Linked DNA regions of Alligator mississippiensis. The protein of the gene in region 2 interacts with the protein of the main gene of each other region in a biochemical or structural test. Links are inferred from orthologs where the notes say so. Each region holds a gene or a part of one and is shown on either strand. Other genes may lie near its edges.

Region 1 (7,099 bases), on a different chromosome or scaffold from region 2:
CTCTCGATGTAGGGTCTGCCCTGCAGTCCCCGGATCATGCGGGTGGCCCTCTTCTGGACCCTCTCAATGTTGTCCACATCCCTCTTGAAGTGGGGTGCCCAGAACTGGACACAGTACTCCAGCTGCGGCCTGACCAGTGTCGCGTAGAGGAGGAGGATCACCTCCTTGGACCTACTTGAGATGCACCTGTGGATGCACGATAAGGTCCGGTTAGCCCTGCCGACCGTGACCTCACATTGTCAGCCCATGTTCATCTTGGAGTCAATAATGACTCCAAGAACCCTTTCTGCCTCTGTGCTCTCAAGAAGGGAGTTTCCCATCTTATAAGTGTGCTGCTGGTTACTACTGCCCAAGTGCAGCACCCTGCACTTGTCAGTATTGAAACGCATCCTGTTTTTGTTAGCCCACCCCTGCAACCTATCCAGGTCTTTCTGCAGTCTCTCCCTCCCTGCTAATGTGCCCACCTCTCCCCATATTTTGGTATCATCAGCAAATTTGAACAGGTTGTTTTTCACCCCGTCGTCCAAATCGCTGATAAAGAAATTGAACAGTGCAGGCCCAAGGACCGAGCCCTGGGGGACTCTGCTGCCCACTTCCCCCCAGGTCGAATATGACCCATCCACCCACCACCCTCTGAGTACGACCCTTCAGCCAATTTGCAATCCATCTGACTGTGTAGGCATCGATGCCACAGTCACCTAGTTTTTTAATGAGGATGGGGTGGTTGACAATATCAAAGGCCTTGCTGAAGTCCAGAAAGACTACATCCATGGCAACACCTGCATCCAATGCTTTTGTGACCTGATCGTAAAAGGCAATCAGGTTGGTCTGACATGACCTGCTCTTAATGAAACTGTGCTGGTTGCCCTTGAGCATCATCCCCGATGCCGACCCATCACAGATGTGCTCCTTGATGATTTTCTCAAAGAGTTTCCCCAGGGTTGAGGTAAGACTGACAGGCCTATAGTTGCCTGGGTCCTCCCTCCTCCCTTTTTTAAAGATGGGACCACATTGGCTATCTTCCAATCATCTGGCACCTGGCCCGAGCACCACGCGTGCTCGTAAAGCCATGCCAAGGGCCCTGCAATAACCCCTGCTAGCTCCCTCAACACCCTAGGGTGGAGAGCATCTGGACCTGCTGATTTGCTCACCTCCAGTAGGGAAAAGGGCAGGGGAGAACAGGGGTAGAGAGGTGGTTGTAATATCAGAGGGAATGGAGGTGGGAGAGAAGAGAGCACGGGGGCCTGGCAGAGCTCTGGCCCCATCCCAGCCTGGTAGTGGTGGCAGCAGTTCCAGCCCAGGGTCCAGCTCCTGGCCAGAGCTGCTGCTCCAACTGTTGCATTGCAGGGCTGGAGCCCTGCTGGATCTGGAGAATAAACAGTAGTGAGGGAAAGGTGAGGAGCAGGGGCAAAGGCTATGGGGAGCAGATGCCAAGAGATGCAGGCATGGGAGGGCATGTAGTGGGGAGGCAGATGCTGGAGTGTGCTGGTAGCAGAGGGGGCAAGTGCTGGGAGAAACAGGCAGCAGGGTACAAGGTATGGGAGAGGGCAGAGGTCATGTTACTTGACTCCCATTGCCTCCCTCCCCACTGCCTGCTCCCCTGCCACTGCTTTCTCCATTGCAGTGGTGAGGGGGACAAATTTAAGACAAGCTTCCAATAATTAAATTCTATACATAGAATAATAGAAAGTTAGGGTTGGAAGAGACCTAAGGAGGACATTTAGTCCAACCCTCTGCTCAAAGCAGGACCATCCCCAACTAGATCATTCCAGCCAAAGCTTTGTCTAGCCAGTTCTTGAAAACCTCCAAGGATGAAGAGTCCTGCGTCTCTCTGGGTAACCTGTTCATGTTTTACTACCCTCCTCATGAGAAAATTCTTCCCAATATCTAATCTCAACTTCCCTTGCTGCAACTTGAGATTGTTGCTCCTTGTTCTGTCATCTCCTACCACTGAGAATAGTCTAGCTCCATCCTCTTTCAAACCACCCTTCAGGTAGTTGAGGACTGCTATTAAATCCTCCCTGTCTTCTCTTCCCTTCACTAAATAAGCCCAGTTACCTCAGCTTGTCCTGAAAAGTCATGTGCCCTAGCCCCTTCATATTTTTGTTGCCCTTCGCTAGACTCTCTCCCATTTGTTTCTGAGTCCAATGATGTAGCCAGTTTTCTATCCACCTTACAGACCATTCATTCAGCCCATACCTCCTTAGCTTGCCTGCAAGGATGTTGTGGGAAACCACATCAAAAGCCTTGCTAAAATTAAGGTACACCACATCCTTGCATCCACAGAGCCAGTCTGTAGTTCCCTGGATTCTCCTTTTTCCCTTTCTTAAATATGGGCACCATATTTGCCCTTTTCTAATCATCCACAACCTCTCCCCATCTCCATGAGTTTTCAAAGATGATGGCCAGAGGCTCTGCAGTCACACCAGCCAACACCCCTTCGGATGCATCCCTGTCTGGCTCCATTGACTTGTCTATGCCCAGCTTTTCTAAGTAGTCCCTAACCTGTTATTTCACTACTGTTGGCTGCTCACCTTCTCCCAAACTGTGCTGCTTGGTGCAGTAGTCTGGGAGCTGACCTTGCCTGTGAAGACTGAGGCAAAAAAGGCATTGAGTATTTCAGCCTTTTCTGCATCCTCTGTCACTAGGTTGCCTCCCCCATTCAGTAAGGGACCCACACTTTCCCCAGTTTTCCTCTTGTTACCAAAATACTTGCAGACACCCTTCTTGTTACCCTTCACATCTCTTGCTAGCTGCAACTCCAATTGCACTTTGGCCTTCCTGACTTCATGCTCTTATACTCCTCCCTCGTTGTTTGTCCAAGTTTCCACTTCTTATAAGCTTCCTTTTTTGTGATTTTAGTTTACTGGAGTTCTCTGCTAAGCTAAGCTGCTCTTCTGCCATACTTGCTAGTCTTCCTGAACATGGTTTGCTCCTGAACTGTTGGTAAGGTTTCTTTAAAAGTACAGCCAACTCTCCTGAACTCCTCTCCCCCTCAGACTGGCTTCCCAGGAGATCCTGCACATCAGTTCCCTGAACAAGTCGAAGTCTGCTTTTCTGAAGTCCAGGGTCCTTACTCTGCTGCTCTCCATCCTTCCTTTCCTTAGGATCCTGAACTCAATTGTCTCATGGTCTCGTGCTGCCCAACTTGCAATCCACTTAACTACATTCCCACCAATCCTTCCATTTGTGAGCAGCAGGTCAAGAAAAACATGGCCCCTAGTTGGCTACTCCAGCACTTGCACCAGGAAGTTGTCCCCAATACTCTCCAAAAACTTCCTGGCCAGCCTGTGCGCTGCTGTATTGTCCTCCCAGCCGGTGTCAGGGTGATTAAAGTCCCCCATGAGAACCAGAGCCTGTGGTGTGGAAACTTCTGTAATAGTGGGCAGAGCAGCTGTTCCTGTGGTTCTGGTGGTGCTTTGCAGGGACCAGGGCTACCTGCCTTGTCCCCCGCCTCCCCCCGGGACATTCCCAATGTGCCCTGAACAGTCCGAGGGAGTCCTCCGACTGCTCAAAGGGTGGGAGTCGGTGCCATGCTTGAGGAGTCCCAGCAGGATGCATGCAGGGCTGCCTAACCCTTTGCCACTAGGGCAGGCCACGGGCAACCAGGGCCCCCACCGTCATTGCTCATGGGGAGGCGGGGACAGAGATAGAGGGCTGTGGGATGTTGGGATCCCTGCGACCTCAGGAACAGCATGATACAGGTCTTCGAGGCGGGACTAGACAGTAACCTGCCCTCCGGAGTACTTGCTGGTTAGAAGAGCTAATTTTTGGGTGCACGAGCTGGTGTGCCAGTTCAAGAAGAACCCTCCCCCCCCCGACAGCCTGTGCGTCATAAAACCTGCTTCGGCGCCCCGGGAAGACTGCTGGACGCCTGCCCGCAGCCCGCGACCGGCACCTAGCTTCCCGCAGCGGCTGGAGCGCGGCCGCTCCGCCCCTCGACGTCACGGTGGGGGCGGGGCCTTCGTGCTGCCGGTCGCTGTGGTAACCGGGGCCGGCCGGCGCCACTTCCGGGTTCGCCCAGCTCGGGCGCCGCAGAGGCTGGTGGGAGCGGCAGCGGCGGCCAATAGGTGAGCGGCTCCTTGTTAGTCTCTTCGTGTATTCCGCGTCTCTCGCCCCGCGCCGGGGTTCGCGCTTGTTGGTGAGTGCGGGGCGGGGCGGGGCGGGGCGGGGGTTCGCGCCCCCAGTGGAGCTGTTGCCGTTGCTGGCGGCGGGAGGCCGGATCTGCCGCGGAGCCGCTCCGCTCGCGTGCCGCCCTGGGGCCCTCTCCAGTGCGGCAGCGAGTCGGCCCGCCTGGGGCCTCGCAGCCGGCCTGGGAGCTCGGCTGGGCGGAGCGGCGGGGGCCAGCGTCCTTGTGCCGGGGACGTTATTTAGCCGGCAGCCTTCAGCGGGAGCAGAGCAACTCGCTGGGCACCGACAGCCTCTAATAAACGACAGGGCTTCATGGTTTTCACCGCGCGGTCTAGTCAGGAGGCTGAATTGTTTTAACTTGAGACAGGCAGGCAGAATGAATGTCAGTTGGGTTGTAAACGTTCCTTGAGTACAGTCTTCAGAGAAATCGTTGGTTTGTGCCCAGGTCAGCTGAGCGGCTGCCCCTCCTTCAGCGCAGGCAGATCCCTCTCCTCTGTGTCGGGAGGTGAAGCTGCAGCAGTTCTAAAACCAAACCCGGAAAGGCACGTGCCAGTGCCTGGCTTCTCTCAGATGCGTGCTTTAGAAGAAAGGAGCAACTTGCCATGTAAAGGAATTCGGAGCCCCGTATGCCTTGAGGTGCCTCATTGATCTGGTTCACTTTTGTTTCCCCCCGCTCCTGTTTTCTTGTCACAGAATTATGGATCCGAGCCTGCTGAGAGAACGAGAGCTATTCAAAAAAAGAGCCCTTTCTACTCCTGCTGTAGAGAAACGTCCAGTGTCTTCTGATTCTTCATCTTCTAAAAAGAAGAAAGCAAAAGTAGAGCAGGGTGGATCATCAAGCTCAAAACAAAATGCAGGTTGGTAAAGTAGCTCTGGTTTTAGGGTTGGTTTTATTGTTTGGCACCTGTGTGTGTCCCAGTTAATTTGAATGGGTCACTGCTTCCATGATCTTAAGTAGCCCGTCATGCTCTAAAGCAGGGGTGGGCAATTATTTCGAGCAGAGGGCCGCTTGCTGAGTTTTGGCAAGCCATCGAGGGCTGCGTGACAGGCAGCCAAGGGCAGATAAATATTAATTTTCTAAATTTTTTAGGGGCTCTACGGGCCAGATAGAATGGTCTGGCTGGCTGCATCTGGCCCCTGGGCTGCATTTTGCCCACCCCTGCTCTAAAGCAATGGGGCCAAACCTTTTTGGCAGGCAGGCCACAAGTTAAGCCCCACGCCTCCCAAGGTGCCATGTCCAATCCCCTTCCCCTGCTTGATCTGCTGCTCTGCTTTCTGCTATTTCCTGCCCTATTTGTTTCTTTTCATTTGTCTCCCTGCCCTGTGCTCCCTGCCTGATCTGTTGTTCTGCTTTGTTCCTTGCCCTTGTCTTTTGCTATGTTCCCTGGACCCTTTCTGTTCTCCAGCATGCTACGTGCAGAAGTGGCCTGTTGCATGTGTACTGCAGGTTGACCGCCCGTGCTCTGAAGAGCAGTCTCCTACAGTTCTCGCTTAAGCACCTTAGCATGAGACTAGAGTGGAGATTGTGTCAGCTTTTCCCCCCTGTCTTGAGTTGTGTGCCATCCCTGAAATAGCATAAATGCTACTCTGAATTTTTCAGTCAGTTTATGCTTGACCTTGGTGCATGAAGAAGTTCTTGATGCCCATGGCTCTGCAGTGCTCTAGCTCAGTTGTGTTCAACTTTTTTTGCCAGATGAGCAGTGCCCAGTCTGTCCACAGGCCAGATCTGGCTGATGATCCTACTCCAGAGATTGGGGTGGGCGCAGCCCCATTGAGTCCTGCAGGGGTGATCTAGTTCAGATCCAGCCATGCAGGGTGGGAGGTGTGCCCTGGTCCTGCAGGAAGAAGGTGGCATGGCCTGGCCCTGAACCAGTAGTAAAGGGAGAAGGGGCACGGCCCAGTCCCAACCTGCTGCACAGACTTGGGAATTTGGCAGCAGAGGAGTTTGGCAGTATTCATTGCTACTGCTCCACTGCTAGACTTCCTGACCTATGAGGAGCTTTGTGGTCTGGATGGGCCACATCTGGCCTGTGGGCTGGAGGATGGACACCCCTGCCCTAGCTCTTTCTACCAGCTCTGCTACTCCTTTTTGTTGTTTCCCCAACTTTGCAATGTTTCTCTATCTAGGTTTGTATGTCAGAGCCAAGTCTCATAGCATCTAATCCTCATCCTCCACACATGCCACGATGTTGTTTAGCCACATGCACGCATGCACACCTCCCCACAATATACAAGAGTAAGACTTCTTTTTAAGCTATTGTACAATCACCTCTATGTACACTATACAAACACAAGTAAATCAGGACAAAATATTTTTTTGAAATCAGATTAATTAATATTGTAGTAGATGTTTGATTTTTAGAATATAATTTGGTATATTTTGGTTCTGAGATGGCAAACCCCCATGCTGAAAAGAGTATTTCCTTGGGCAATGGGGAGGGACTTATGGTGGCAAAAGTTAGGGGGCAGTACTTCCGGTCCTAAGATGGTGACCAGGGTATGGGGCACCTGTCAAGGGTCAGGGCTACCCAAGCAGTCCTTGACAGCTTGTCAAAACTTGGTAAGCAGCCCTCTGCTTGAAATAATTGCCCGTCCCTATTCTAAGTGCTTCCCAATACTCCAAAAAAAAAAAAAAAAAGTGGGGTGGGGAGGGTGGTGGGGGAGAATTCTCTCCCTTCCCTGTATTTCTTGCTATTTATTTATCTAGTTTAATTTGTCTATTCTTGCTGTTTATCTTGAGTGAAAAATGTAAGCTTGGACAAAGAAAAGGATTTTGAATTTTTTGTATAGTATCTCACTCTTCGTGCCGTGAAATCAGTGATCATTGTTTTGTCTTGGAGTACTTCTTGATCTGTAAACCGGTGAAGGTGCTGTGACCTCCGATGTACCCGCAAGTTCCTCTGTCTTGGTCAGAGGTTGTTTTTGGTTTAATCTTAACAAAACTAAAAATGAAGGCAAGGATTTAGGG
Region 2 (7,533 bases):
AGCTCCAGAAATGAGTCCCTCTCCCTTCCCCGCACACCATAACTTAAGTCTTACCTTCTTCGTCAAGTCCACCGATTATGTTATAAACATAGTAAGGAAAGAAGCGTCGAGAATACAGGATTGTTGACAACATTGCTGCAATAGCCCCAGTAGTCATCGTCTTGTTGTTGGAATGCTTGTACATCTACAATCAAATGCAAAACACAAGCAGGTTAAATACTAAAACAATAGTGTATATAGAGTGAATTCTAAAGATTATTTTTACAGAAAGAAATTTTCATACTGTGCTTTATTAAAAAGGAAGCAGATGGACAAAGCAGAAGTTGCGACTGGAATGCATACGATTGCTAAAAATAATCAGTCTAAAAATGAGTTTGTCAAAATTTAAATGTGGTGCATTTCTTTTCTTGCCTAATGTATCAGAAGTTCAGACACCAAATTTGTGTCCTACAAGTTTTGAAAGAACAGATATCATTACCTGGTTATAGTACTGTTAGGGTATTAAAACTAGCTTCAAGATTTGCATATTCAATATTTTTAATTTTACTCAGTTAAAATAGGAAGCATTGCATTACACTGGACACAACCAATGTCAGGAGAACACCCGAATCAAAACTATGACCCTTTTTAATTCACTAGTTACATTTTAAGTTCTTCATTTGGTCACATTATTGCTCTATTACACTTGACTAAGAGTAAGGTTCTTACAATTTTTTTGTTTGTTTTTTTTGTTTGGTTGGGTTTTTTTGGGGTTTTTTTGTTCTTTGTTTTTTGGGTTTTTTGGGTTTTTTTTTGTTTTTTTACATACAAAACATTATTAATATTGTAACTACCTTTAATCTTGCTTCAATAATTTTCGTAAGCGTAAGGCAGTCACCATGAAAACCACTGCATCCAATGACTGTTTGGTCTGTTCTGTAAAATGCAAAGTTTGGAAAATGTTTTAGCGTGCCCCATGACTACAAACTATCATATCACCACTAGCATAAAATCATTTGAAAAACATGGAATATTTGTATACCTAGCTTCCTTTAATGCATTGCATCAGCCTGTTCAGTAGGAATCTGCAGACCCCCAAAATGGAAGCCACTCAGATGAGTGGTTAAAAGTGAAAAATTGTAAAATAGGAGAAAAAAATTCTAATCCCACTTCTGCCAGGTAATTTGATGGGTATGCGATTTAACCAATTTGCCTTACATCCAGATTTACAGATTTTACCAGTGCTTTGAGGTGGAATAGAAAAAAAACTATACAGATACAGGTTTTTAATATTAAACCATTATTAAAAATTAGAGGGAGACAGATACTTCAAACCTAAAAGCATTTACAAACTCAACTATGAAATATACCATTCATAGGATGTCATCTAGACAGCTGTAGAGCACAATTAACTTCAACAATCTAAAGATGAAAATATTGTCTTAATTCATGTTTGTCAGTATTACCAAAGCTACTTATTTCAATACAAGAGATGGTGCCAAGAAAACCTATCTTGATACTACGAGGAAGCTACTGATATGCTAAGGAGCTAGCCAGGAGAAACCTGAACCCCTGAGAACTGTGCCAATGATAGCAGAGGGCTTGCCTCTGTAGCTAGTGGCAGCCTAGAGTGGGAGTGAGGCATTTAAATGCAAGTAACAATAAACTTGCTGAAACCAAGGGGACACTATCCAGCTGCTTTGAAGGAAGCATATGAAGAATGTGAAACAAGTTTGATAATGGAATTGCTGACAGGTTCCCTGATGGTCTCCAGTGAAGTAGACAGCTCTGAAGTGCCAGATGGTCTACTGAAGCAACAGTGAAATAGTGACATACCTGGGGTATAGCCAGCAGTGGTAGCACTTGTGTCCCAACTACCAGGCATCCAGAAGAAACAAAGCCACTTGCTGCAGAGCTAAGCACTGCTACAATTAACTGAATCTTCTCATTGGTATTCATCCAAAAAATAGTCTGTCTACTTAGCTTGTATTTTTAAAATCAAGTCTAATTTGGTATTGAAAAACATCCTTTGTCAGTGAAATTCAAGTATTAGAGTCAAACTAAGAAATATGATCTCAATTATGGCATTACAAGAGAGTACAAATGCAGCCAGATTGCTTTCTTACTGAAACGTCCTTTTGCAAATGAAAATGCTAGTCATTGACCCTCTACAGGTTACTAAGTTAATCAGTGGAACAGATCTTATAAGCAAGTTTTTACTTTGCCCAAGATTAAAACTTACAGTTTGTAGCATTTGGGACTGTCCCGGCTATGAATTGCATAACCTTCACTCAGTCGTGTGTCTGAGGCAACGACAGAAAAGTCTTCTCCAGCAATTGCCAACACGGTCCTTTAAAAAAAAAAAAAAAAAAAAAGTAAATCAATATAGAATTACAATTTCTAACATAAACATTCACTCAACAGAGAGGAAAAGGCACACCAAATGAGTGGTTCTCAGTCTGGTTTGAAAAGATTTGTCAGTGATGGAGCAGCTTTCATTCTACAGGAAGTTCTATTTCTTCCTACATGGCATAAGATTTGTTTTCTTTTTTCATTTTTTAAGAAATGGAACAAAAAGCGCACTGTTGCAGCTCATTTACATCTACATGCTATGTGGGATGTGTGTGTAAATTCAGTTATAATTAAGTTTACAGAAATCAGAGGAATTCAGCAGACTAGCAAGGTGACAGAAGCTTTTGGTGAGCACTGTAACCAGCCTAAAAACTGGCAGTAATTCAACCCTAATAATAGAAAGCCTTACGAATGGCAAGATGAAACAGCCCACAGATACGAGGCAAATCTGTAATTAAGGAGCAATGCTCTCACATTCCCCCCCCCATATTCTTTTCAAATAGCCAACTGTCATAGCTGCTGCATGTGAACTGTGGGCTTATGAACTAGGAAAGCTGCTTGGCACCATCTGCCTTAAAATGCAGTCCAAACTATGAAAATGCTTCTGGACCAGTCAATTACTGGTGCATCAGGCTAAGAACGTAAAGTGCCATGCTGGGTTGGACCAATGGTCCATCTAGCTCAGTACAGCCCCACGTTCTCTGCTCAGTGCCCTCCCTTCAGAAGTCTTGTTATAAACCTGTAACCATCAGTCCTGCCCATTTTCTTTTGAGGTGTCCTGGGTAATCAGCTGCCGTGCCTCTAGTGAACAAGGGAGGCTTATAGTTTTTGCGATGGGCCTAGGCCAACGTTTCCCTTGGCATAGCAAATAGACCTGTCTTCAACAGTGTCAGAAGTGGAAACTAAAGGGGGAGCATCAAACCAGACCTAGTGATCAATCCCCTGTTCATCACCCTCCTTAGCATCTGCCACTCTTGGTTTAGAGACACCAGAGAAAACATCTACCATACCATTCAAAAGCCATTAACTGATCTATCCTCCATGAATGCACCCAGGCCCCTTTTTTGAAAGTGGCTGTGCTACCAGCTCCTACCACCTCCTGTGGGAAGTCAAGGTTCTGGCCAGGGGAATCTCAGGCTGGTGTGAGGTTGTTTCCTCTCACTCATCTGCTCACATCTCTGGGAAGTTTCAGGGGGAAGCTGCAGCCCAGTCTGTTAAGAGCCATGAGTCCTGGATATGGCACAAAGGGACAGAACTGCTCATAAGAGCTGCTATTTCTTCGGTCAGAGCACGGGTCCACTCTCCCCATCTCCTGTGTCACAGGGCGCCTGCTTCAAGCGCACCTGGTCGCTGCCCCTCTTCCACCTCCTCCAGAACCTCCTGCTGAGGGCCTGGCTACACTGCTCCCTGCACCTTTTCTTTCACAGACTTCCCGCCCGCAGTCCCACCACGTCCCGGGACCTCCTGGCCAAACTAGCCATCTGTAAGACCAGGAAGGAGGCTGTGGTCGGGAGAAGCACAGGCAAGTGCGGGGCCACTTCCCTGGCGCTCTTCCGTTCACATCACCACACTGAGTGTCACTGACCGGCGTCCACAGACTCCCTCGACCCCTTCAAGGGGCAGAGGTGCTAGCCAGTGTGCTCGGTTCGGCGTCCACTTCTGATGCCTTAGTTATTAACCTACGACCTCAAAGATTTTGGGGGTCAGAAGGGACTTCAGTAGATCATCCATCCTAACCCCCCGCCCGGCAAACCCTTCACCTCCCCCCCGCGCCTCTTTTCCAAGCGGGGCGGCGCCTCCGCCGCTGGAGGGGACCCCACGCGGCCGGGGACAGGCAGGGGCGGCCGGGGGAGGGGCAGGCAGCCGGGGCGGCTCACCCGCCGTTGAAGGTGTAGGGGGAGAAGCGGTGGCTCGTGGCAGCGCCGAGGCCGCAGTCCCGCCTGAGCCCGGGCTCCGCATAGCCAGCAGCGAACGCAGACGACAGCATCCTGCAGTGCCTCCGATCCAGGCCGTGCCTGCTGTCTCACGGCAAAATGGCAGCACCGGAAGCGGAAGTCCTCCCAGCCTCGCTCTTGAAGACGCTCTAGGTTCCCCCTCCAACTCGTCTGCTCCCAAGGTGGGGAACCACCCCCCTCCACAGCTATAGGGCGGCGTGCGGCGCATGCGCTGAGCTGGCAGGACCTTTTTCCCAAGCATGTCACCCCGGGGGCGGTGTTCCCTAGCTCCGGGAGGAGCCGTGTAGTAGGCTGCTTTGCCCTCTCTCAAGATGGCCGCCGAGCGGGATTCGAGGGGAGGGGGAAATAAAGGCTGCTACGGGCGGAACTGACGCATTTTGATCGCGCGGCGGTGTAGGCTGGGGTTACCATCGGTGCTGCAGCCGACGCTGGGTCCGGGCAGCGGGCGGAGGGCCTAGAGCGGAAGGTACCGGCCTCGCTTCTATTCCCCCTTCGCGCGCGGTGGGGGGCGGAGCCTGCTGATGTCGGGCCCGCGCGGCCCTTCCCCGCCCGCCTGCGGCGCGAGCGCTGGTTCCAAGCGGCCGTTGGCGTCTCCCCCCGCCGGGCGCTGCAGGGCCCTCACCCCGTCCCCCCGTGGAGCCGCTGGGGGAGCGGGGGGGGGGAGCCCAGGGTAACGGTTCTGCCCCCCCACCCCACGCGGGACCCGCGCCTCACGCATCCACGTGGGCACACTCATGCTTCACTTGTTTATAGATTATTATTAAATAAGCAATTATTTATAAGGAAATATTATTAAATTACAAATAATAATTATAGTACTAGGTGAGCAGGTTTTCTCCAGGCTTCCCTGCTGCCAGAAAAGAAACCTGGGAGTTTTCCCCCTCCCCGGCGAAGCGGTTGCTGTAGAAAGCCATACCTGCTTGCACTATGGTGGCCATCATAGAGGACAGTCTGCTTTTCTGTTCCTCCATCCTCTATTGATATGAAACCTGATGCCATAATGTCCTCTATTTTTCTCTTCAAGAGACCCAATGCCTTTCTCTTCAAGGAACCTGACTTCTCTTTCTTGAAGAGAAAAATAGAGGACATAAAGGCATGGGGTTTCATAGCAGTAGAGGACAGAGGACAACCAGACTGTCCCCTATGATGGCCGCCCTAGCCTGCATGCACCCAGCATCTGGCCTCAGAGAGGAGCGGCCTGGTTGCAGCGCACTGGTGTGCTACCAGCGGGCAGGCAGGGCAGTTCGGCAAACCGCTCCTTTCTCGTGGGAGTCGGCTGTTGCAGACTCTCATCTCTTCTTGTCCTCATTGCTGCACATTTGGGTTTCGTAGACTTGCATTTTTTAATAGGATAACGATAATAATAATTATTACTATTATAGTAGCGTGAGAGTGCACAAACACCAGCAGAGTCTCCCCATGCCTGGAGAAGTGCTTGTGCCCAAAAGCTTGCAAAAAACGATCTTTCCAACTATTGGGTTGGTCTAATAAAAGATCACACAGTAAGTTGTAAGAAGAATTGATAAAATATTAATATTGCAGTGATAATCCAGTATTTTACATTGTTGCTAAAGGAACACATCCTAGCATTGAAATTCACTTGAGAGAATAGTGCATTGCCCAAATAACCCTGTCTGCTAGTTTTTCATAACATTTTTTGTGCATCTTCATGGTGAAATGCCTCAGCGCTTTATGCTGGTTCAGGCTGGGGAAGGAGGTTGTTTCCCTGGTCATTTTTTGGGTAACAGGATTTTGCTCTTAAATGACTTCCAACTGCCTGGAACTCGTGAACGCTTTAAAATTATGGTAAGACTTTAAAGATATCCAGGTTGTAATTATGGTAAGACTTTAAACAATTTTAAGCACATTTTGCTGATATATTTGGAAGTCTTCATAAACAGTGGTTCAGTCCTGAAATCACTTGTGTGTGCAGTCCTGCTGAAACCTACGGGTCTGTTCATGTAAGTAAAGCCACTTGTATGGACAGATTTTTAGGGGAAGGGTTGTTTCTATGGCAGCACAGGTGTGTACAAAGAAATGTGTTTAAAAATGTACTTAAGATGCGGCTGAATACATTTTTAAAGGTGCTGTTACCAAGAGTGTTTTCTATCTTTTTCAGGTTTTGAATTGTGTTTTAGATTTGCAACACGTTTTTCTGGAGCTAATGTTTTTAATAATCATTCAGAAGTGGCTGAAAATCTAGTTGCTGGAATGCTTTAGGGGAAACGACTTCTTTATCGTGTGGAATTATTGTTCTTGAATTACTGGAAATAATTCTGGCCTGACCAAAGAAGTAATTGGAATCATGGATCAGAACAACAGCTTGCCGCCCTATGCCCAAGGACTGGCATCACCTCAGGTAAAAATAAGATATTTAAAAAATTTAAGTGCAGGATAAAAGTCTTTGCAGAAAGGATTTCAGTTTCATGTGTAAACAAACATGAATAACTCCATTAGATGCTGACTATATAAATGCTTACAACTACAACAGCTTAGTGTGGTGATCTGCAGTCCCAGGAATATTTGCTTGATGGAAACTTGTTTGAAATTTTAGGCTAAAAGCAAACTGGACTGTCCCTTAGCCTTTTATAGTCAAAACTTAAATGACAATTGACTTGAATTAACTGTGATTATTCTGAGAGACACTGTTAATTTGAATACTTCACAGTTAGTTAATGTAGCACAATGGTTTTGGCAGTAGTCTGTAAAATCTGGGGTTTGTGTCTGGGGTTTGCTGAGAGAGAAAATGCTCAAATCCAAATCAAAACATTCATTTGTTTTTAGCTTTGGTAGCATTTTTAAGTGTCTCCAGTTTCTGATAAAATATTATTTCAGTGTAGTCAGATATTTGCAAAACAAATCCTTAATATTTGTAAGGAAATGCATCTTATGACCCAAAATCTCACTGGCTTTTGTTTTTTTCTAATTGAAATGTATTCGAACAAGGCATTGTGGTATGCATACACTGACACTGAATAATCCTTTCCTGGTTGGTGGAGAAGAGAAAGCATTATCTCTATTTCAGTGGTTCCCAAACTGACAGATTACATACCACCAATTTAAATTTAAAGTACCACCAGCAAATTTTTGTCATATAAAGTCATTATAATAAATCTGTTAATGCTACCACTGACAGGTTGTCTGCGTACCACTGGTAGTACCCATACCACAGATTGGGAACTGCTGTTGTGAGACTTTTTCTGTGAAGTAAAATACACTTTGAGGGATATTAAGTTCTTATTGTTTG

What was found.
Region 1: the proteins of TBP (region 2) and GTF2E2 form a complex in vitro, tested with the Homo sapiens proteins (2 studies listed by BioGRID). The link is inferred for Alligator mississippiensis from reciprocal best matches to the Homo sapiens genes TBP and GTF2E2.

What each region holds. Positions count from the first base shown.
Region 1 is NC_081825.1:169,002,119-169,009,217, forward strand, and holds the start of GTF2E2 (transcription initiation factor IIE subunit beta), read left to right. Parts: upstream 1-3,997; 5' UTR 3,998-4,070; exon of another isoform or gene 4,071-4,141; intron 4,142-4,824; 5' UTR 4,825-4,828; coding exon 4,829-4,988; intron 4,989-7,099. UniProt on the Homo sapiens protein: Recruits TFIIH to the initiation complex and stimulates the RNA polymerase II C-terminal domain kinase and DNA-dependent ATPase activities of TFIIH. Both TFIIH and TFIIE are required for promoter clearance by RNA polymerase.
Region 2 is NC_081824.1:147,741,658-147,749,190, forward strand, and holds the start of TBP (TATA-box-binding protein), read left to right. Parts: upstream 1-4,525; 5' UTR 4,526-4,752; intron 4,753-6,405; 5' UTR 6,406-6,591; coding exon 6,592-6,645; intron 6,646-7,533. Other genes in the region: PSMB1 (proteasome subunit beta type-1), read right to left, coding at 55-184, 834-915, 2,222-2,329, 4,209-4,318. UniProt on the Homo sapiens protein: The TFIID basal transcription factor complex plays a major role in the initiation of RNA polymerase II (Pol II)-dependent transcription.